Linked DNA regions of Rattus norvegicus. The protein of the gene in region 1 interacts with the protein of each later gene in a pairwise test. Links are inferred from orthologs where the notes say so. Each region holds a gene or a part of one and is shown on either strand. Other genes may lie near its edges. The genes, in order: Pnma5, Cstpp1, Ccnc, Prkaa1, Rad23b and Zmynd19.

The links.
Region 2: the proteins of Pnma5 (region 1) and Cstpp1 interact in binary tests that used the Homo sapiens proteins (3 or more experiments, as listed by UniProt). The two-hybrid records come from large-scale screens. The link is inferred for Rattus norvegicus from reciprocal best matches to the Homo sapiens genes PNMA5 and CSTPP1.
Region 3: the proteins of Pnma5 (region 1) and Ccnc interact in binary tests that used the Homo sapiens proteins (3 or more experiments, as listed by UniProt). The two-hybrid records come from large-scale screens. The link is inferred for Rattus norvegicus from reciprocal best matches to the Homo sapiens genes PNMA5 and CCNC.
Region 4: the proteins of Pnma5 (region 1) and Prkaa1 interact in binary tests that used the Homo sapiens proteins (3 or more experiments, as listed by UniProt). The two-hybrid records come from large-scale screens. The link is inferred for Rattus norvegicus from reciprocal best matches to the Homo sapiens genes PNMA5 and PRKAA1.
Region 5: the proteins of Pnma5 (region 1) and Rad23b interact in binary tests that used the Homo sapiens proteins (3 or more experiments, as listed by UniProt). The two-hybrid records come from large-scale screens. The link is inferred for Rattus norvegicus from reciprocal best matches to the Homo sapiens genes PNMA5 and RAD23B.
Region 6: the proteins of Pnma5 (region 1) and Zmynd19 interact in binary tests that used the Homo sapiens proteins (3 or more experiments, as listed by UniProt). The two-hybrid records come from large-scale screens. The link is inferred for Rattus norvegicus from reciprocal best matches to the Homo sapiens genes PNMA5 and ZMYND19.

The regions. Positions count from the first base shown.
Region 1 is NC_086039.1:155,922,631-155,926,310, reverse strand, and holds Pnma5 (paraneoplastic antigen-like protein 5), read left to right. Parts: upstream 1-1,255; coding exon 1,256-2,566; 3' UTR 2,567-3,180; downstream 3,181-3,680.
Region 2 is NC_086021.1:97,869,163-97,873,264, forward strand, and holds the start of Cstpp1 (centriolar satellite-associated tubulin polyglutamylase complex regulator 1), read right to left. Parts: upstream 2,801-4,102; coding exon 2,755-2,800; intron 1-2,754. UniProt on the Homo sapiens protein: Regulator of the tubulin polyglutamylase complex (TPGC) that controls cytoskeletal organization, nuclear shape, and cilium disassembly by balancing microtubule and actin assembly.
Region 3 is NC_086023.1:40,062,275-40,066,482, reverse strand, and holds the start of Ccnc (cyclin-C), read right to left. Parts: upstream 2,801-4,208; 5' UTR 2,690-2,800; coding exon 2,658-2,689; intron 177-2,657; coding exon 70-176; intron 1-69. UniProt on the Homo sapiens protein: Component of the Mediator complex, a coactivator involved in regulated gene transcription of nearly all RNA polymerase II-dependent genes.
Region 4 is NC_086020.1:55,998,775-56,001,362, reverse strand, and holds part of Prkaa1 (5'-AMP-activated protein kinase catalytic subunit alpha-1), read right to left. Parts: intron 2,587-2,588; coding exon 2,460-2,586; intron 1,152-2,459; coding exon 907-1,151; 3' UTR 1-906. UniProt on the Homo sapiens protein: Catalytic subunit of AMP-activated protein kinase (AMPK), an energy sensor protein kinase that plays a key role in regulating cellular energy metabolism.
Region 5 is NC_086023.1:74,902,518-74,906,017, reverse strand, and holds part of Rad23b (UV excision repair protein RAD23 homolog B), read right to left. Parts: intron 2,686-3,500; coding exon 2,606-2,685; intron 344-2,605; coding exon 75-343; intron 1-74. UniProt on the Homo sapiens protein: Multiubiquitin chain receptor involved in modulation of proteasomal degradation. Binds to polyubiquitin chains.
Region 6 is NC_086021.1:28,155,135-28,159,113, reverse strand, and holds the start of Zmynd19 (zinc finger MYND domain-containing protein 19), read right to left. Parts: upstream 2,801-3,979; 5' UTR 2,616-2,800; coding exon 2,565-2,615; intron 2,463-2,564; exon of another isoform or gene 2,211-2,462; intron 2,103-2,210; exon of another isoform or gene 1,969-2,102; intron 1,250-1,968; coding exon 1,190-1,249; intron 356-1,189; coding exon 249-355; intron 1-248. UniProt on the Homo sapiens protein: May be involved as a regulatory molecule in GPR24/MCH-R1 signaling.

The DNA.
Region 1 (3,680 bases):
TCCTTGCAAGGAATTAAAAAAAAAAAAAAAAAAGTCTTACAAAGTAGCTTCCGCTGGCTTACTTTTCAAAACTGACAGATCAGCCTCAGCCTACTTCAAGTGCAGGGATTAAAGATGTGCTCAACCACACCCAGCAAAAGGGGCTGTCTTTAGATTCTTGAGCAGACTCAGAATTGCTACAGCCTGCATGGGCAGGGACATTCAGGACAGACCATATTAAATATTGCTCTGCCTTGCCTTGAACAGATCAGTGGGCAGGAACCAGCATTCCTGCACTGCCTGTCTGCATAGAGCCAGAAGACTGTGAGGATCAAGCACCAGTACCAGGAAAGTCATCATCTCAGCACTTCAGTAGGGTAGGTACTACACAGAAAACAGCGGGGTGAGCATCTATTTTGGGAGTAGCCTTTAACTGTAGCAAAGAGCTGGTTCAACGTGTTTCCTGCCAAGATTCACAGACCGCAGGGTAGGGCCATACCTGGGATGACAGTTGTCTGTTTACTTTCTGGGGTTATTTTTGCTTTTAATTCCAGATTCCATACTATGTAAACCCATACGCTTGATTTATCAGCCCTCCTCAGTCTCTGCCCTATCCTGCTGTCCATACCTGTGGCTAAGATGCTTTATTACTTGGAGGACCATGACAGCACCTGTTGTCCTTCAAAGGCCTTAATCTATTGTAGAAGCCCAGATTTACACTGTTCCTCTGTCCATGCCTACACTTTAGCTTGTCATATGTTCTTTGCACCCAGCACTGTGATCACATCTGCTGAGTTCCAGTCATCTTTCTTACCTGTTGAGCACTTCTTCAGGAGGAGGAGAGTTTTCTATGTGCTGCCAGTCTTGGACCTAATAAGGAATGGGCTAAATCCAATACAGCACTACGTGGGTGGCAGAGTGTTCTCCTGTTCTGTCCTCCACTGGGTCTTTTCCAGTACTCTCAGGTATGCTCTTTGCCTCCTGACATTGGCATTTTCCCTCCAGGTACTTGCAGAATATGGAGTAGCGTCCCTGGACTTTCAAGGAGGTTGCTGCAACTGGAGGTCAGCAGGGTTCAGTGAGGTTCCGGAAACTTTCTGTGATTGCACAAGACTGAATGTCTGGGAGGAGGAAAGGTGATGGGAATCATTAAGTACCACCTTAACTTCATTTGCATTTCAGGTTGTGGAAACCAGGACATCACTGCCTTTCTGTATGGCATTGGTTTAGAATCTTTGAGTGCTAGTGTTAGGTCTGCCCATAGAGGGAGGGAACAATGGCTGTAGCTCTATTAGATGACTGGTGTAAGGGGATGGATCTGGACCCCAGGAAGGCTGTACTCATTGTGGGCATCCCCGTACAGTGCACTGAAGCTGAGATAAAGGATGCTCTGAAAGAAGGCTTACCTCCTTTGTGTGCACACAAGGTGATAGGCAGAATGTTCAGGAGGGAAGATGAAGCTAAGGCAGTCTTAATTGAACTGACTGAAGTTGTCGATTATACTATGATGCCTACTCATATACCAGCAGAGGGTGGGGCCTGGGAAGTGGTTGTCAAACCCCGTAGCCCAGATGATGAGTTTATCAATAAGTTGATCTACTTTCTGAGAGATGAAGGGCGGAGAATGGTAGATGTGGCCAAAGCCCTGGGGTTTAGCACTGTCCCTACAGGGAGAATGGAGCTAAAGAATTTAGACCAAGACAAACCAAAAGGCTTGAAGTCTCTGTGCAGTAATGGCACATGTTACCAAAAACTAAAAGTGTTTTCTGGCAGTCCCTTTCCCGGCCCAGGAGAAGAAAGCTTTGAGACCTGGTTAGAGGAGGTCACTGAGCTGATGCACTTATGGCAGGTGTCTGAGAGTGAGAAGAAGCAGCGCCTTGTGGAGAGTCTGCGTGGCTCTGCCCTGTCAATCATGCAGGCACTGTGGGCTAGCAATGACTCCCTAACTGTGGAGCAGTGTTTGAAAGCCCTAAAGCACATCTTTGGGAATAAAGAGGACTGTAAGGTCTTCCAGTTCAGGTTCCTTCAATCTTCTCAGAAACCTGCAGAGAAGATATCTGATTACTTGCTACGCTTAGAGCCCCTGCTGCAAAAAGCAGTACAGCAGAGCCCATTGTCAACACACAGTGCAGATTCAATTCGTCTCAAGCATATCTTATCTAGGGTCTCCATGACCACTGGCCTTCGGGGCAAACTATCTCTCTTAGATCAGCAAGGGTGCCCACCTACTTTTCTGGAATTAATGAAACTCACTCGAGATGAGGAAGAGTGGGAGACCACTATGGTAGGGAAGGAGCAGAATCAGGCAGAAAAGGAAAACAGGACACGTGAGACAGCAGATCAAGTTGTTACCCAGGAGGAGTACTTTAGGGAGATCAGCACCCAGACCATAGGAGAGGAGATCACATCAGTGAAACGGAGGCGACTGCTATGGAGACAGAGTACTGGAGAAGAGGAACATATGAGGGAATCAGGTTTCTGGGCTGAAAATGAATCAGATGAGGAGAAACCCTTTGTTACAATACAGGAATCGGGAAACGAGAGAGGGGCTTGGGCTATGAGCCACCCCAACCCCAAGGAAATATAGGCTCAGGACATGCAGGAATTCCTTCCTCTGGCAGGCAACAGAGATACTGTGACAAAATCATGGGGCAGCCCAGGCAAAGAGCAGGGGACATGGGTGTTGCAGAAGAGCAGCGGGGCCAGGGTAAAGCCCCCAACTTCTTACTACTTAGAAATGATTACAACAAGCAAGGGCAAGTTCCATGCAGCTCAGTGACAACCAAATGCCAGGCCCACAGGGAGTGTCAGAGACAGAACTGGGGAGCTAATATGATAAGCAGACTACAGGGTCATCCAGACTGTAGTTGGCATACTAGTGGGTCACAAGATGGTGACGCTGGGTGCTCTGAGCTAAGGATGCCCACCAGCACTGAAGCAGCACAGGGCATAAAGGAGCCCGCCACGGGGTTGTCTTGGGCAGAGGACACCAGTGCCTGGGAGCAAGTACAGCTAGGGAGGGAGGGAGTACCCAGGAGAGGAGGCCGCAGGATCCAGCCTGTCTTCAGGATCATCTACACTGCTCTAGGGGAGCCCCATGAGGGCAGCACCCTTGAGTCCTTCCGTGAGTGAACTCCCCCCACCCCCGTGAAACCCCCAATCTCCAGACCCACCAAAGGATGGGGGGATGGGGGCTAGGCAGTGCCAACGCAGGGCAGTTTCCCTCTTGGCACCTGACAGGACACCAGTGCCTGAGAAGAGCCCCAGGCTGGGGCACATGGCACCATAGGGTTAATGCCCTCAGCTGGCCTGAGAGCCTGGGAGTGTGCAGGGCAGATTTTGTGCGAACAAACAGGAGATGGAAGAACATCAGGAGGAGGACTCTGTGTGTGTCGGGGTTGGGCTTGGGGGGGGGGGGGCGTAGTTTGTTCTTCTCCCTTTTGTCCAGGGCTGCTGGAGAATTCCAGAGAGCAAGCAGGGAGAGCCAGTGAATTCAACTCTGCCAAGGCTGGCCCCAAACCCTGCCGAGCTGAGGGGTGGTCTGGCGGCATTACCAGAGCGCCATCCTCCATCTGCCATCCATACCAAACGCGTGGACGTTCCAGAAGAGGCCATCTCGAGGGTTCTGCCTACTGCCTGGCTCTCCCAATACGGACGCCCCTTCCCCTTCCCATTACTGTCCAGAGGCTGTACCCCCTGCT
Region 2 (4,102 bases), on another chromosome or scaffold:
GAGCTTGATTTTCTAAAGATTTCTTTGCTTGGGGGCTGGAGAGATGGCTCAGCAGTTAAGAGCACTGGCTGCTCTTCCAGAGGTCCTGAGTTCAATTCCAAGCAACCACATGGTGGCTCACAACCACCTGTAACGGGATCTGATGCCCTCTTCTGTCTGAAGAGAGTAACAGTGTATTCATATACATAAATAATTCTTTTTTTAAAATTGTCAATAAAAAATGCAAATAAAGTATACTCTCTAAGCTGTTACTTAACAGATTTTTAAAGAAATTTTAAATGTGGTCTATTTTGTTACAAAATTGCGCAGAAACAAGCATTTTCTTATATTGCTGCTGTCAGATTTAAATGATAGAAACCTTTGTGGCCAGGTGATGGGGGCTGTATTCCTTTGATCCCGGCACATGGGAGGCAGAGGCAGGTTGGATCTCTGTGATTTCAAGGCCAGTCGGGTCTACAGTGCAAGATCTAGGAGAGCCAGAGCTGCACAGAGAAACCCTGTCTCCAAAGAGAAAACAAACAAAAACTCCTGTGAAAGACTATGTGGCATATGTTTCGATGTTAAATACGATGCCCTTCACTTTGTGAAATTTATCCTTGTAGAAATGCATGCATGCAAAGGAACAGAATTGCAGGTTATTCACTGAGGCATAGTTAGTGACCATAAAAAGTTAAAAAATAATTCACTATCTATCAACATGGACTTGGTTAAATAAACTCTTTAAGTACTAATTACTTAAGTAGCTAAAAGTGAGGTTTAAAAGAAATGACAGTTTAGGGGTGGCGGCGTAACACCTGCCATCCCACAACTTGAGAGGTTTCTACCTGGGGCAAAGGCAACCAAGAGGATTGGAAATTCCAGAGCAACTTCAGTTACATGGTGTGACTGAAGTCTACAATACTGTCTGAAAAGACAAAGAAGCAAAAACAAAAACATAAAACAAAAGAAAAGACAAAGCTCCCTATTCTTGATATACATTAAATGAAGACAAACAAAACTGTGCACTATATGTTCCTTTATGTACAAAATAAACTCCGGAAGGATGTACACAAAACCAGCAATAGTAGTTACCTCTGTGGAATATGCCAGACTTGGTGGGGAAAGAGGGGAGCATCTTTTTTACTATAAATTGCTACCTTTTTATTTCTACTTTTGTTCTATATACATGTCTTCTGTGTGTGTATGCACACACATGCAGAGGTCAAAAGAAGCCCTTGGGTTCCCCAGAGTTACAGAAACTTTAAGCTGCATGCTGTGGGTGCCACAGTTCAAACTCAGGTAAACAGGAAAAGTAACAAGAGCTCTTAACTGCTAAGCTATCTCTCTCATCCCCCAAGATAAATGTCTTTATATTTAAAAAGTAATTTTGGCTCAACTTTTCGTATGATTAAGAAAATTTAACCATCTGCCAGGTGCTGGTAATTCATTCCTTTGATTCCAGCACTGGGTAGACAGAGGCAGGAGGATCTCTGTGAGTTCAAGACCAACCAAGGCTACATAGAGAGATCAATTCTCAAAATATAAAACATTTATCCAGAGTTGTAGTTTATTTTTAAAAATGTGTATGCTACATTCATATAATGAGATGTTATTCATCCATGTAAAGAAATGAGTTATCAAGTCACAAAACAACAAGGAGGAACCTGAACACCCACTGAAACAAGCCCATCTGAAGAGCTTATACACGGAATGGCTCCCACTATTCTCAAAGAGGCAAAACTTTAAAAGTCAGTAAGATCAGTAGTGAAACGGAAAGGGTGAATGAATGGGTGAAGCATAGAGGATTTTTAGGACAAGGAAACAATTGTTTTACATCTGAATGGGAATATATGAGAATATGAATTTGTCTAAGTCCAGAAAACACAACACAAAGAGTGAACCCTAATGTAAACCATAAGCTGTTGGTAATCACACTGAGCTAATATTCAGTTGCAAGAAATGTACCAGACTAACACAAGAAATTAATAATAGAAGCTAGATAGAAGATATAGAGGGGTAAAAAAAAAAAAAAAAGAACTGTTATCAGCTCAGTCTTCTATAAGTTTAAAATTCCTCTAAATGTTTAAGTCTGTGAACTTTTAAGTGTGTATGTGTGCATATAAGTGTATCCACAAATGTGTGCAGTAAAGGCCTCACATGCTCACTGCAGGGAGCTTACAAAGTACAGTCCTTACTACCACATAGCCTTAGTTCAAGAGCAAGGTCGAGTTCTTCAGTGGGGAAATCTGATCCTAATACTATCTAACCGTATGGTCTTATGCAAGTTGTTTCTTTAGCCTTAGTTTCTCCATCTGTCAAGTAGAAAACACAGCAGTCCCTTCCAAGAAAGAATGCTGCATGCAAAATGCTTATCGCGTGCAAAATGCCTAATGAAAAAGAATAGCTTGAAATAACAGCACACTATGAAGGCAAAATTATTATTCACAAAATGATTGATGTCACTTCAGATGCCAAGTTTGCTTCAATAATATAATAGCCTCATTTAAGGCCTCAGATTCTTAATTGTGTTATTTAGAATGCAATTCTCATTGACTGAGTGCCAGTCCATATAATTCAGCCATTCTTTACTCCATAAATGTTATTTTTCATCCCGATTTGGTCCTACATTCATTACAGGCTCAGGCCCTAGGACCCCTTCTTTCTGTCCCTCCGGTCCCATCCAGACCCGCTACCATTCAGGCTCCGCCCCTGTCTCCTCCCCACTCCTTCCCCTAACTCATCACTCATTTCCCGAAGCTGAAAGAAGGCCCCTACCCAGATACTCGTAGTCCGGTAGAGCTAGGCGCTCGGGACTCAGCATCCTTTGACCGGGTAGTTTCCACGCTCCAGCTTTCTTCTTCCGGAACCCAGGTTACAGCCTGTCTCTGTTGCCATGGCACCATGCGGCCAGAGAACTAGAAGGCTGAAAGGGTGTCACGTAAACAGTCTCCGACTGGCAACGTGGAGCCTATCACATAAGTTCCGGAAGCAGTCACTTGAGTGTTTTTCTTTAACTACTATTTTTTTTCTAAAAAAATTTTTTAGAAAAATTTTTTAGATATATTTCTTTATTTACATTTCAAATGTTATTCCCTTTCCCGGTTTCCTTTCCATAAGCCCCCATCCCCTCCCCCCTACTATTTTTGGGACTTGGTTTTAGAAGCTGTGAAGTGAATCCTCTGAATATGTCATATTTTGTGATGCGGAAGAATTACTACCAGCGGCTCATATCCGCAATTTCTGGAGTCATAGTTTCTATCTATCCTAATAATAATTATCATGTATGACCTCACATAACACTGAGATCTCATTATCTATTATTAATTTTGTACAAAGTTTGTACAAAATGTTCTTTGTATCTTGGAAGCTTCTTGAGATCAGGGACATGTCTTTAGCCTCTAACAGGGTTAGTTAGACACATAGAGGTACTCACTAAAGGCCACTGAGTACAATCCAAGGGACCCCATATTGTGAAAACAGAATATCAACTCCTGCAAGTTGTCCTCTGACCTCCACATGTCCCTGCCCTAAATATATATCTCGACAGGGTCTTGCTGTATTGCCCAGGAGGGCTTGGAACTTGATTGTAGACCAGGCTGGCCTTGAATTTAAGAGATATACCCCTGCAGATCCCAGAGTTTTTACTGTTTTAAAGGTGTGTGCCCCTACACCCAGTAAAATATAATTTTAAAAACTAAAGTCCTCTGTAAGTTAATTACCATTCCTCTCAAATTCCTTTTAGCCATTAGAATCTGCTTCTGCTCCTATACTGTATTATTTGACATCTTGTCCAAGCGGCTTTCCTTTTGCCTACAGAGACACTTCTCTTCTCAAAGGAAATAAATCAGAACGTGAACATTTATTACATATCCTCAGCTGTGCCCTTTTTGAAGAAGGAAGACTATTCCTTTCTTTTCAAATAACTGGATACTTCTTTTTGCTCCTCCCTTTGTGCAAGAACAGGAAAGAGGTCTGTAGCATTGTCACCACCCAAACCTAACAGGAAAAGCCACTTGCTCCTCCCTTTTCTTTTTTTTTTTTCTTTTTTTTTTTTTTCCGGAGCTGGGGACCGAACCCAGGGTCTTGCGCTTGCTAGGCACTGAGCTAAATCCCCAACTCCACT
Region 3 (4,208 bases), on another chromosome or scaffold:
TTCATTGAAATTACCATACAAAATAGTGACCAGCTATACTATACTACTTCAACCAATGTAAAAGTTTACCATTTGTAAAAAATATTTGTAATTTCCAATACTCCTCTTCTGAGAGAAACTTTAGGTCCTTCTGGCGCTCTTTCAACAGATCTTGTTTATCCAAAATCCACTGCAAACTAGAAAAAGTAAAGATGTCAAAAAGTGGTATAAAAAGCCAACAAGTGGAGGTGGGGGGGGTTGCTTGAGCTGGGGTACTGGGAGAAGAGAGGGCTGATATTGGGATGTAAAGTGAATAAACTAATTTTAAAAGGCCAACAATCAAAAGCACCTAAAACACTAAGATTTAATAAGCTGGTCATATTCTAAGTGGTATATCTCTTTTCCTTCCCTCCTTCCCTTCTCCCCCCTCTCTTTCTTTCTGTTTAGCCCTGGTTATCCTGGAACTCCTTCTGTAGAGCCGACTAGCCTCAGTCTGGCAGAGATCCCATCACCACCAAGCTTCATGCAGCACTGCATCCAGCTTTTTTTGTTTTGGGTATATCTTTAGAACATTGATAAAGGACAGTGTCTGGCTAGACAGAGCGCCAGTCTACTTCTGAAACTTAATTAACTCTTCAAAACGGGTCTCTAAAATACTGAGTAAATTATGTTCAACAATGAAATACTTGAGTTCTTCAATACATGCTCACCCATTTCAAGTAAATTCAGCCTTGGAGCAAATTTTACATTTTTCTAATTTAATCTTTTCCAATCAGTGTTTTCACTATCACCCCAATGTTTCTCAGTTTTGTTGGACCAATGGAATCCCTTTGGTTTTTGGATGCTATTTGTGACTGCTTTGCTGACTATCTTCAAATAATTCTATGCCAATCAGTTTGATTCCCATTCTGTCTGGTCAATAAACAAGGATGCTGTGGATGCCATTCTAAACTCTCAGGTAAGTTATTCATCAGATTTCTCTAGCTTTTCAGCAGTTCACTGGCAGCCTCAGCAAGACCATTTGATGAAGAAACAGGGAAACTTGAAGCTAAAGAAACTCTTGATGGTTTCAAAGATTCTCTACCTCTTTTTCTCCATTTCCTTCATAGTGTCCTGTGGACAAAGCACCAGCACACAGGTTCTCAGACCCTCTAGAATAAGGCCCATTCTCAAAGATAAACTCTTGCTATATGCAAAGACTTGCTACTGCCTGTTTTAGGATTACATCACTGAGGCAGACAATCAAGGCATTATCTGAGTACCAAGATTAAGTACAGGTCCAAGCTTAATACCACCTTTTTGGGTCATCCCCTTCTGTATTTCATTTTTTTTTTTAACTGAAACACCTCAGTGAGTAAAATCCCACAGTAACCCTTCACTAGCATTTCATCATCCCAGAAACACTTTGTAGCAAGAGAAGACATGCTTTCCAGAAACAAGTCTCCAAATTCAGTTTCCTTTCTTCTTCTCCTCCTTCTCCTTCTCCTTTTCTCCTTCTTCTTTGTTCTCAGGCAAAGAGGAAAAAACATCCAACCCAATTCATAGAATTTGTTGTTGTCTTCAGACTAAAATTCAATCCTGCTCAGTTTTTAATGTACTTAATGGAAAGCCTGCTCAATGCTTAGCCCAATCGCACAACGGGTCCTGTATGTTTAACCAAATGTATTTAGAGACAAATGTCTTTAACATTACTTTAGCCCTTCTATGGTCATATGGTCACCGAAAGACACTAAAATTTAGTCATTTAAATGGTTAAAGGAAGAGGACAAAAATCTGGAAAATACACACCTTTAAAGCAAAATATAAGACACCGGCTAATGAATGAAAATAGATATATTCGGGGTTGGGGATTTAGCTCAGTGGTAGACTGCTTGCCTAGCAAGCGCACGGCCCTGGGTTCGGTCCTCAGCTCCGGAAAAAAAAAAAAAAAAGAAATAGATATATTTTAAGAGCCCCTGTGCTCTCAAATTCTAGGGGCATAAAAGTCAACCTAGGAGCCAGTAAGTGGCTCATATCTTTAATTACAGCACTCAGAGGCAGAGGCAGGCGGGTCTCAGTAAACTCGAGTCCAACCTGGCTTATAGCGTGAGTTCTAGAACAGCCACCGCTTAACCCAGGGAAACCCTGCCTCCGGGGGTGGCGGATAAAGGTGAGGGTGGGGGGATAAAGGTGAGGGTGTGTGTGTGTGTGTGTGTGTGTGTGTGTGTGTGTGTGTGCGCGCGCGCGCGCGCGTCTAACCAATCTAGGCATAAAACTGAGCCACGAAGCAGAAGGTAGAAACAAGCACGACTCACTCCTCTCCTCTAAGTAAATAAAGCAAACCATGTCTGTCCGAAACAGGCGATCTCACAGAGCTACAATGGGTCACTTCCCCTTGCCCACATCATCCCACCAACCAAACCCCCAAATTTTAAATGAAACCGCCTCTGTCTCCCTTCCCGGAGACCGGACCCCTTACCTATCCTTCGAGTTCACTTCCCCTCAGCCCCCGAAATCCCGCTGGGCGAAGAGGGGAAATCCGCAAAATGGTGCTGCTTTTCGGACCCCCGGCTTCTACGGGGGAGGTGGGGGTGGGGACTCACCCCCAGCAGCCAGGATGGAAGTCCCGAGGGAATAGCAGGCCCAATCCTCCCGTGCCCCAGACCCGGTCCCACGCGAGAAAATGGAAGCTCACTTACTAGTGGGAGCTCTGCCAGAAGTTCCCTGCCATGGAATACTGCTTGCCCTGATACAAAAGCACCAGCCGGCAAAGCGGCCCGCGGAGCAACCATAGACACAGTCCCTGGACTGTGTTACTCAACCAGACCGGCTGGATTGAACTGAACAGCAACCGCAGTCAGAGGAAGAGAACAACACCGTCGCCTTGACGCCGGCCGACAACACTGAGCAGCATACACCGGTTCCGGCCGACAAAAGTTCCGGCCCGCCCTAGTAGCGGAGGAAGCAAGCAAACACCAGACTGCCAATGGGCGTGTTGAGGCGGGTCCCCGGAAGTTGAGTAAACACGGACAGAGGCTCGTGGTGGTGAGAGGCTCTGAGGAGGTTTCCTGCTAGTTAATTTCTAGAGCATCCTCAGTATGGTTTTCTGGTTTAGTGCGGTTTTCTTTTGGGTCCATTTAGGGATCTTGTTAATCCACCTTGAAGGCCTTCCAAAATAGCACACCGGCGTTGAAAGAAAGCATGGCATTATATAACTGCTCTTTTCCTAGGATTGAAAGAAGAAATAAATGAAAGGCATTTTGGCTTTAAGATCTAAGTACTCTTAGTGAAGTTCTTGTTGGTGTTAAGTCTAACGAGTTAGCGAATTTTAGTGTGACAAGTGTAGCCTTTTTAGAGTAGCAATCTTTTTTATGTTAGAGCCTGCTACTTGTATATCTAAAAACATGAGCATATGAACATAATCTAGCTACACTTACGCTCAGCAAATTGATATGCTGCAGAAATGCAATAATTTGATTTTATAAAATGAAATAATACTTAAATGTTTCTGTTATCATTGTAACATTGCATTTAGTACTGTACTTTGGTGGCTGAGACTGGAACATTATGAGTTTCCGGCCAGTCCTTGCTTCCTGCTGAGACCCTGTCTATGGGATGAGGGGGAAGGGGTAAAGCACAATCGGTAAAGTGCCCCAGAAGCTCTGGGTGATACTCAGCACTATATACACCTGCAAGGTAAGAGTATTCACACCCTCAGCTACTATCTTAGTCAGTGTTTCTGTTCCTGCATAAAACATCATGACCAAAAAGCAAGTTGGGGAGGAAAGGGTTTATTCAGCTTATACTTTCCACATTGCTGTTCATCACCAAAGAAAGTCGGGACTGGAACTCAAGCAGGTCAGGAAGCAGGAGTTGATGCAGAGGCCATAGAGGGACGCTATTTACGGGCTTGCTTCCCCTGGTTTGCTCAGCTTGCTCTTTCATAGAACCCAAGACTATCAGCCAGGGTTCTACAAGGGGCTGGGTCCTCCCCCACCCCTTGATCACTAATTGAGAAAATGCCTTACAGGTGGATCTCATGGAGGCATTTCCTCAAGGGAGGCTCCTTTCTCTGTGATAACTTCAGCTTGTGTCAAGTTGACACACAAAACCAGCCAGTACAGCTACATTGTTTCCGGCAAGCCTAGACTAGGTGAGAATTTCAGCCTCAGTTTTGGGATCATCCTGGCTGGTGTGCCCTGACTCCTGTCCTTAACTCTCCAGCCCAGAGATTGGACTGAGAGTCCCTC
Region 4 (2,588 bases), on another chromosome or scaffold:
AACTTTTCTTTCTTTAGAAATTGTTCAGAATAAAATCAGGGGTTAAAAACCCAATCCCAGCATTCAGAGCTTTTAAACAATGTCCGTTCTATGCGCTGGATTGACTTAAAAAAATACACAATCAAATGACATTCAATACTGGCTGACATGATAGCATGTCTGTGCACTGACAGAAGCAACATGATTCGGTACAGTGTGAGCAACTCGGCTCTTGGATCCAAAGCAGCACTTCATACACAAAACGTTTAAGGGGGAAACTGTAAAAGCAAGTTCAGGGCTCGGAGGGTCTGAACATATAAATTCTGGTGGGTTGGGGGCTTACAAGCCAAAGAAAAATTTTAAATTAGACTGTTATCTGAAATGACTTGCTACATAAAAATAGTATTTTAAGAGGAATATGGAAATAGTTCATAATGTTACCCAAAATGGGAAACAGTAACTATTTCGAAAGTTAAGGAGCCCAGAAAACAGCATCGCCTAGGTCTTGTATCATCTAGGAAGGTCTGTGGGGATTCTAGGCAAACTCACTCAATAAATTCATGAAGCTAATATAAAACACATCAACATGTACTGATATGTAAAGGCTTTATGGTAAATTTATGGTCAACAGAGACCTGTTACAGCAAATTCAAATGGCCAAAAATCGAGTGAGCCTGAGGCCTATAGTCCACTGTGTGTTACTATGCGATGTGTGCCTACTGAATAAGGGCTAACAGAATGATCCTGATTCCTTTCTGCACATTAGGCTTAAACAATCGATCATTTTCCAGGCCCTGTGCAAGCTGCATTGCAGAAGGCCAGTCCTTAGTTATATATACACACACATATAACTCGGTAAGTGGAAGTATTTGGCTATTATTTAGTAAGCATGCTTATTGCATCAAAGAAATAAGCAAAGTTTTAGGTTTACTGTGCAAGAATTTTAATTAGATTTGCACACATTTCAAAAAATTCTATCGTGTGACTTCCTGGTCTTGGAGCTACGTCAACAGGAGAGGAGTCGAGGGAGGTCACGGATGAGGTAAGAGAGACTTCTGAGGGCTTTCCTTGAGCCTCGGCGTCGGAGTCGCTCCTTTGGCAAGATCGATAGTTGCTGATGGATCCCGATCTCTGTGGAGTAGCAGTCCCTGATTTGGCTTCTGTAATCTCATCTGGGTGAAAAGAATTTCAACATTTTATTATGTTTCTCCCTCAAGTGTTTAATCAGCACCTGAGTGAGACTACTAACCAGCTCTCCAAGCAATGGCCGGTCAACACAGGGTGTATCATAGAGTGCTCTTGACTTTGACACTGACTAAGAACCAGTAAACTAATAACACGGGTTCTAATAAATATCTCACAGACTCACTGGACAGTGGCAAGCATGCCTTTAATCCCATTGCTCAGGAGGCAGAGGTAACTCTGTGGGTTGGAGGCCAGCCTGGTCTATGGAGTAAGTTCCAGGACAGCCAGGACTATACAAAGAAACCCTGTCTAAAAAGCAAAACAAAACAAAAGATACAAAATCGATCACTTGCAATATGGAAGGTGTCTTGGAACTTAATCTCACCCAGGAATCGTTTTCCTGAAATAAAGCAGCCTGGGAAACGAGGGGTTTGCCCAAGTAGCCAAGTGGGCAGTGAGCTCCCACAACTCAGGCTCCCGCCACTCAAGCGCTTCACCCTTCCTACTCAGGTCAGTGCTCTTACCCTGCACTCTCTCAAATGTCACTTAGAGCAGAAGAGAAAAACAAACCTATATACTTTTAAAGATTTTACAGAACAATAGTCATTTTCTACCTTGGGGAAAATGGTGATGGTGACTGAAGCCAGTGAGGCAAGAACTTCAGTACTGAACTAAATCCCTTGCCCCAAGATAATAATCTATAAAGCATATACTACATGGAGCAGGAATGACAAGTTTCACAAATATCCCTCTTGCAGGACATAGGAAGTCACATTTCCTGCTGAATTAGGGCGGTGAGGACAGAGGACAGGTATGATAGTGCAGACTGGGGGCCGGGGAGAAGGCTCAGTAGATAGAGAGACTGCCGCACAGCATACAGACCCTGCCTGATGCTGATCCCCAGACCCATGTCAACATCAGACCAGTAAGGGCATACCCATAATGTCAACACCGGAAGTCGGAAATGAAAGGAACCCTGGAGCTTGCTGGCCAGTAAGTGTATCCTAAAGGGCAACCTCCTGTTTGCAGAGAGACCTTGTCTCCAAAGTGAGAAGGAAGGTGAAGAAGGGAGACACCTGACATTGACCTCTGTAGCCCCTCCAAGATACAAACAAAGGGAGGGAGAGACTAAAGATAGAAAGAGAGGAAGAGAAGAAAGTGCCGTAGTGAAGCTTACTACTTTGCATGCTTAGTTTTTATTAAAAAAACAAAAACAAAAACAAAAAACAAAGACTATAAACCAAATTAGGTAACCAGGCCAAACACATCACCTCCATGGTTTTACGTGTACATACCATCAATACTTCGGAAATCCAATAAGTAAGTCCTACTATCCACTTGGTATAGCTGTAGACTCATTTTGGAAAATGTGCTTGTCACAGGGTTCTTCCTTCGCACACGCAAATAATAGGGGTTTACAACCT
Region 5 (3,500 bases), on another chromosome or scaffold:
CATAGTAGTCAGCTTGTTTCTTAAAAATTAAAAATATGGCTACTTGTGATGTAATTCTTAAACGTAGTCCTTACCTGTCAGCTGGTGCTGGGCTAGTAAGCACTGGTGTCTGTGCTGGCTTTTCTGCAGGTTTCTCGGGCTGAGTTGCACCAGTAGGTGCAGGTTCAGAAGATGCTGTAGTTGAGGCTGGAGTCGTGGAGGCAGGTGTGGAAGTGGGAGCCAGAGCAGGGGTGGGAGCTGGAGCCTGGGCCACAGCTGCTGCAGGGGAGGAGCTGACTGTAGTGGTGCTGGGAGAACTTGATTGCTGGGTTGTAGCTGGCACTGCTGATGTCACTGCTTTGGGCTGGATGTGTCAAACAACAAAGTAAATAAGGTATCACTGGACTTCAACAGCCACACAATCAGCCTAATAACCAGTAAACTGAACATCATTTTGTAAGCGGATGATAAAAGATCAACATTAGCAAATGAAAGCAATTCACTACTCTTCAAAGTACCTATGGAAATTTAAATATCTTAGCTCTCAAGTGCAATTAGCATTAGACAGTCCATCGAAGTCTTTACTTATACACCTTAACTGTACCTGTAAAGATTACATTGCCACATAAAAGCATTCGCAAAGTAAGTTCTGGGGTGTGAAGTAGACTGTCTATGAACATGCCCAACAATCTGCTGTATTTTAGGAGGAAAACCTCCTGCTGTAAAGCAACACGGGTAAGGACTCACACGTCTCCATGAGCTAAGGTGTACAGCTAACGTATACAGAACAGACTAGCACTGATGAGGGAGAACATCCTTTTTTCCTTTCTGAGACTGAGTTCAGCATAACTTAATTCTAAGTCTATTTTTATGAAAATTTTGTGATTTCAGTTTTCTTTAGAACTGAAAAATATTCCGTTTTTATCTATACTAGATTTTTATTATCCATTTCACTATTTCCCACTGCTATTGTTATTCTGTGACTTTGGAGGAAACTCACATTTAATCCACCACTGACTAATTTGATAAAGTAACTTTGACCATCCACTTAAACTTGCTTTCATTATTACCAAGAGTGCTTTCCATGTTTGGTCCCTCCCAAACTCAGGTATTTAAACCCTAAAGTCTTTGTTGTTGTTTTCAGTGAGTGCTGGGACTAATGACATGATGTACCACCAAACCTGGCATAAACCCTAAAGTTTTATGACAAACCAGTATGAGGAAGGCAGAAATTACATCTGACTGTGCTATTAAAGGTAGGGCCTTTTAGATTACATTACAGCAGAGACTCCATAAATAATTCCAGTGGCTTTATAAGGACCAAAAAACAAACAAACAACCCCTACACACTGATAGAAATCCAAGCATCACCACAATGACAACATGCTACTAGGTGTCCTTGTGCAGTCTTCACCATGCTGTTCGGACTTCCAGTCTCCACAACTGTGGCCTGATAATAAACCCTTTTCTGCTTTACACTTTTACCTTGGATATTTTATTACAGCAAAGATGACTAATACACTGCTCTTCCCCAGATTATCCATTTGTAAGCACATATACAAAGCAGTCTCTTTAAGGAATCAATGCTGAAGTTCTGATCTGTAAGTGTGTGCAGGCAGGGCCAGATGTCAACTCTCAAGGGCCATCCATCTTTAAAAGAAAATCTCTCGTTGGCCTAGAGCTCACCAAGTAGGCTAGACTAGAAGGCCAGTAAGCCCCAGGGCTGACCCTGTATGCCTCCCAGTACTGAGCTTCTAGCAGTGGATCTGAGCATGCATTTAATGATGTACTGGAGAGACAGAACTCAGTTCTTAGGAGGCTTGTAAGGTAAGCTTTACTTTACTGGCTTAGCTTTTCTTCAGTTCTCAAGCTGTACTTTAGAAAAGAGTTTATTTTCAAAAAATTACCCAATATATTTAATGTAGTTCAATATCATAAACCATAAAGCAATTCTTAAGAATTACTCCAGGGTTGGGGACTTAGCTCAGTGGTAGAGCATTTGCCTAGCAAGTGCAAAGCCCTGGGTTCAGTCCTCAGCTCCAGGAAAAAAAAAAAAAAAAAGAATTACTCCAAAAATCATTCCATTTTTTTAGTTGACTTTTCCTTTTTTATTTTATAAAACTCTTATCTCTTGATTGAAAACTGAACTTGCATTCTTTCTTTCTTTGGCCCTGAGCTTGTTAGGTCTAACACATACCTTATCTAGTACCTGAAAGGCTACACATTAAAAGCTATACAAAGAAAGACATTTAATTTGATTGCTATTTTTAGATGATCACATGGTAACTTAACTATTCTGGCACCTCTTTTTAAGCAGTAAACACAGATAAAGGAAAAGTAAGAAACTCTTAAGGGGTGTCAAGGGAGAAATGCCCTTTTAAAAATATAATACTTTGTTTTATCTTACATAAACACAACTTTATGGCTACAAATATCTAATGTTACTTTTCTAAGGGGCTGAGGGAAACTTGCCTACATTTGGAAAGCAGGTAAGCACACCGTGCTCTTTGTTACATATGCTGTGCAGGGTGTAGAAATGCATGAACTGTGTGTGTCCATGTGGACTTGGTCACCGCTTTTGAGATGATTTATAAGCATAAAAATACATAAGTAGCACGAAACTTACCTTTGTCACCATAACCACCACAAAGTTTTTCTCATCAATTTTATATTCTTTGAGAGCAGTATCATCACTGAGGATTTTGCCTAATAATTCAGGGAGAAAAAAAGTTAAAGACATATCAAGCTTCTTCTTATAAAGAAACTACTCTTTTTAGTGGTAACCATTTCTACCAAGTAAAACTCCTAAAGAAAACTTTAACAACCACGTGAGGTAAATATAAACAGACGTGTACTACTTTAAAAGCACAAGTGTCTTACAAGATGTCTAACATCTCTAGTATATAAAACACAAATTGATTTGTTTTTAATTTATTAACTAACTCTAAGATTTACTAGACAAAGAAATTTGAAGTCCTGAAAAGAGATATTAAAGACAAAGGAAATTAAACATTTCTTTGTTAAAAAGATTTATTTATTTATTATGTATAAATACACTGTAGCTATCTTCAGACACACCAAAAGAGGGCATCAGATCCCATTACAGATGGTTGTGAGCCACCATGTAGTTGCTGGGAATTAAACTCAACCTCTGGAAGAGTAGTCAGTGCTCTTAGCCACTGAATCATCTCTCCAGCCCCAAAGTAAACATTTCAATTGCCTAGTCACCCTTTGGGAAATAAGTTTTTTTTTCCTGAAAGAAGGAATGAATAACTTCTTATTCTGAAATACCAAACATGTGATGAAGCAGTTGTTCCAACATCGTAAAAACAAAATACGTATATACAAAACAGGCCAAGTGAGCAAACAAAACCTTTCAGAGAAATAGCACAACACACAAGAAAGGGGAAGATTGGGGTTGGGGATTTAGCTCAGCGGTAGAGCGCTTGCCTAGCAAGCCCAAGGCCCTGGGTTCGGTCCCCAGCTCCGGAAAAAAAAAAAAAAAAAAAAGAAAAGAAAAG
Region 6 (3,979 bases), on another chromosome or scaffold:
TAAGGATGTAACCTATGACTGACTCCCCAGAGGACCACAGGTCTCGAGTCCCACTCGCTGTTTAAGTGACATGTACATTAGTCATCCCTTTGGGTTAGTGGCAAAGGTCACAAAATAAACTCCCAGGCTCAGAGAAGATAAGGTTGAGTCTGACCCCACTGAGTAGAATGCTCTCTTTAGGCACACTGTGCACATCACAGCTCACATGGGGCTTAGGTGGGGAGACTTCTCAGTTGGAAAATACTCACCATAGCAGCTCATGCAGAAGCCTGCCCGAGCCCCTTCCCCGGTTTTTGTCAAAGGCATATGCAAATATCTTAGCACCGTTTCCATCAGCGTCTACTTCCATCCGAGCCTGGGCAGAGGACAGAGCAGAGCGCATCTGTTGGAAAGCCTTTACCTCTCAGCACACTTCAAATCCAGCTCAGAAAAGCTCCAGAGGTACAGATGATATCCTGCTCCTAGGACCCCAAAAGTACAGGGAGCACACCCTGACCAACAACTTGCAAAATGCTGTGGACACCAAGAAGTAAATTTTTTCTATCCTCAAAAAAGGCCAGAAGAGACGATGGGGAGCTAGAGATGGCTAAGCAGTTAAGAGAATTGGCTGCTCTTTCAGAGGACCCTGGGCTTGATTCCCTACAGCCAGCCACCTGGTAGCTCACAACCGTCTGTGACCCATGCAGATACTCAGATCAACATTAATACACATAAATAAACTCAGGGAATAAAACACTTGAGGGGGAAAAAGCCCATGTTGGCTGTGATAGTGCACATCTGTAATCTCAGAACTCAGGTAACGGAGACAAGGAGATTTGAGTATTCACAGCTGGCTTGGGGAGAACAAAACCTTACCCCCATCCCCCACTCGCCAAAAGGCCACCAGCCAGAGAGGTGGTAGTTCTTGACCAAGAACAGTGAGGGCAAGATGGTCTCCCTAGTTAGGGTGCAAAGGTGTGTGCTCACTTGGTTTAACAAACATGTAACCATAAACACAACAAAACAGGGAGTTTTCAAAGACCAGTATTCAGGAAAGGAGGTCACAATGGGCTCTACTAGCCAGCAGTGTCCAGGTTGTCACAACCTGCTTTGGAGCTAAATATCATATCAGTGGTATCCTCTTGTTCTCCCAGAACAAGGAAGGAAATTCATTTCTCATTCCTCCTGGGCACCAAACAGTAATGCTCACCTCAAAGGAGTAGCTCTCCACCAGTGGTATGTCCTGCTCATCTATCAGCGTGTATTTGGTCTGCAAATAAACCATGTTTCAAAAATTACATCTGAGACCCACCTAAGAAACAGTAACAGCATAACTTGCAGCAGCAGGAATCTGTAATACTGTCCAATGAGACAGAAAGAAACCACATCTTAAGTGGGGCCTTGCTCAGAGTCATTTGGCACAGCCTGCAATCAAAGTGCAGTTCAAACTGGGCATGGTGGTACACACCTTTAATCCCAACACTCGAAAGTACTGGCAGACAGAACCCTCCTGTGAGTTCCTAAACAACCAGGACCATAGAGTGAGATTCTTCCTCAAAAAAGAAAAGAAAAATCCTTTCAAGTATGTTAAAAGCAAAACATGACCACATGTACCAGTGTGGGTAATTAGGCTTCAGAGCCCATCCACACCTGATAGACGGTCCCTAACAAGTGGCACTGAGCTTTTAATGCACCCGGAAACTCAAACATGTCTAGTGGAGTAGAGGAAGGGAACGGGGCTAAGAACATCAGGTTCCAAGTGATGTTTGTTCAGTAGATGGATAGTTATTCCATGTGCTAACTGGATAGCCCTTCTTCACCTGGTCTCAAATATTCCTAATAAAAGCTTTAATGGCCCAAACTCCTGCAAATAATTGCGGAGTAAAAGTCTCCCACCCCTCCCCAGTTAGAAAGTTCCAGTAGTTCTTTCCTAAGCTCAACACAGGTTGCTTTTACTTTCCTGGAAGCTCTTTCTAGGATCTCAGTTACCTGCCTCTACTTTCTGTCTGCTCCTCTCTCCCACTAGCAGCCGCCGCCACTGGTGGAAGGAACAGACTTAAGGTCCACAGTTCCTGAACAGCACCATGACACGAAGCCCAGCTTCAACATGTGGTGGGTGGTGGCCCAGGCGAGGAGCATCTGAGAGCCTTAAAGCCTACCAAGATCAGGGCCCTGGCTCTTCGTCTGTGCTCTAGGAAAGCCTGTGACTCGAGTGACCGAACGTGGCCAACCTTTGGTCAACGTTAAAACGCGCCGCCGAGGGCTACCGCGGACCGGCTGCTCCGCTCGCCTCAGAGCTTCGGGCCAAGAGCGTCACGGCGGGAGGCCGCCGCGTTTAAAGCGTGCGGTCGCAGGTGCAGCCCGGCCGCCGGAGCCGCCGCAGGTGCCCGAGGAGGGAGAGGATGAACCCCGGCAACTGTTCCGCACCAGCCAGTCCCACACGAGTCCTGAGGCCGAGGGGCGCGCCCCCGGCCGCGGGGAAGACTCCCGCGAGGAAGGCGGCGCCCGGACCATGCAGGCCCGCGCAGCTGCTCGCCCTGGTGCCCCAGCCCGCGCAGGCCTCGCCGCCGCTCCACACCGCTCACCTTCCCGGCCACCCGGCCGAGCCGCACGATGCCCAATTTAAAGTCGGTCATGGCCGGGCCTGCGCTCTGGGCAGGCGGAGCCGCTCCCTCGGGAGGCTCCGGACCGGACCGGGTCGGGCCGTAGCGAGGCCGCGGCACTCCGGGTCAGGCCGGGGCCGGGGTCAGGCCGGGCGGGCCACGGGCGGACGAGGCTGGGCCAGGATCGGGCCACCGCCGCCGCCTCGCGCCCGCCGGACCTGCCACGCGCCGCCGCCACCGCCGCGCGCACCCCAGCGAGCGGAGCAGAGGGCGGGGCGCACCCGGGACACACCCCCCACCGGCGGCGGCCGACCAATCACGAGACGCGCCCTTCGCCGGTCGTGGCGCGCCGCGGCCAAATAACCAATGAAAATAGGAAACAGGCGCAGGCGCAATGAAAAAGACCCAAGTGCGGGGGAGGGGCGAGCCGGGGGCGGCGCCTGCGCGGCGGCCGGCGCAACGTCAATTTCGCGGGAAGCTTTGTGCGCGCTGCGGCCGCGGCTGGGGCGCGTGAGTGAGCGCAGTAGGTCGTGGCTTCTTCCTGACAATAGCTGCTTGCGTTCGGGTCTCTAAGTTGTGCACGGCGTAGAACGTCTGTCGTTACCTGGTGGTTACCGGCTAGCAGGATGCTGTATGGGTCGTCCAGGTCTCCAGAATCATCCTGCGAGGCAGCGGCGAGTACCTACTCGATGCTTCCTGGAACCCAAGCGCCTTAGGTCTCCTAGAAAGGATAAAACCTTCGGGAAGGAGCGGGAGGCTAGGGCGGGTATCTGTCCCCGGAAAAGGGAGATCTGGTAGTCTGGAATCCTGACAAAGCTGATAAGGCCTAGAGTTCGAGCCCAGGGCTAGACTCCACCTGCTTCAAGGTGACCTCAGGCATCAGAGGATCTGCAAATGTTTCTACCTCTCTTTGTTCCAGTTTGGAATTACCGGGAGCAAAGGATTGTCGAGTAAAGCTAGATCTCCTCTCAGCCCTTGGTGCTTAACATTACTCCCAGGTGCTTTTCTGCTCAAACCGCACCTGTTCCGTTAGCCTCTTCAGACTTGTGGATAAGAGAACTTTTTAATAAGAGGTGGAATGCTTAGGATGATGCAAAGTGCGCTCCCTGGTAATAAAACAATTTGTTCTTGCATATTCCTCCAAAATAGTAATTCAACACATCCCACATAACTTGAAAGGAGACCCAGGGGGTTGGGGATTTGGCTCAGCGGTAGGGCGCTTGTCTAGCAACCACAAGGCCCTGGGTCCCCAGCCCCGGAAAAAAAAAAAAAAAAAAAAAAAGACGAAAGGAGACCCAGGATACACCTGTTAGATCCCAGAGGCTGCCCTTGTAGAGGAGATTGGCCATACCTCATACCCTATTGAGTACCCTTAAGCTGATGAGTGGGTATGAGGA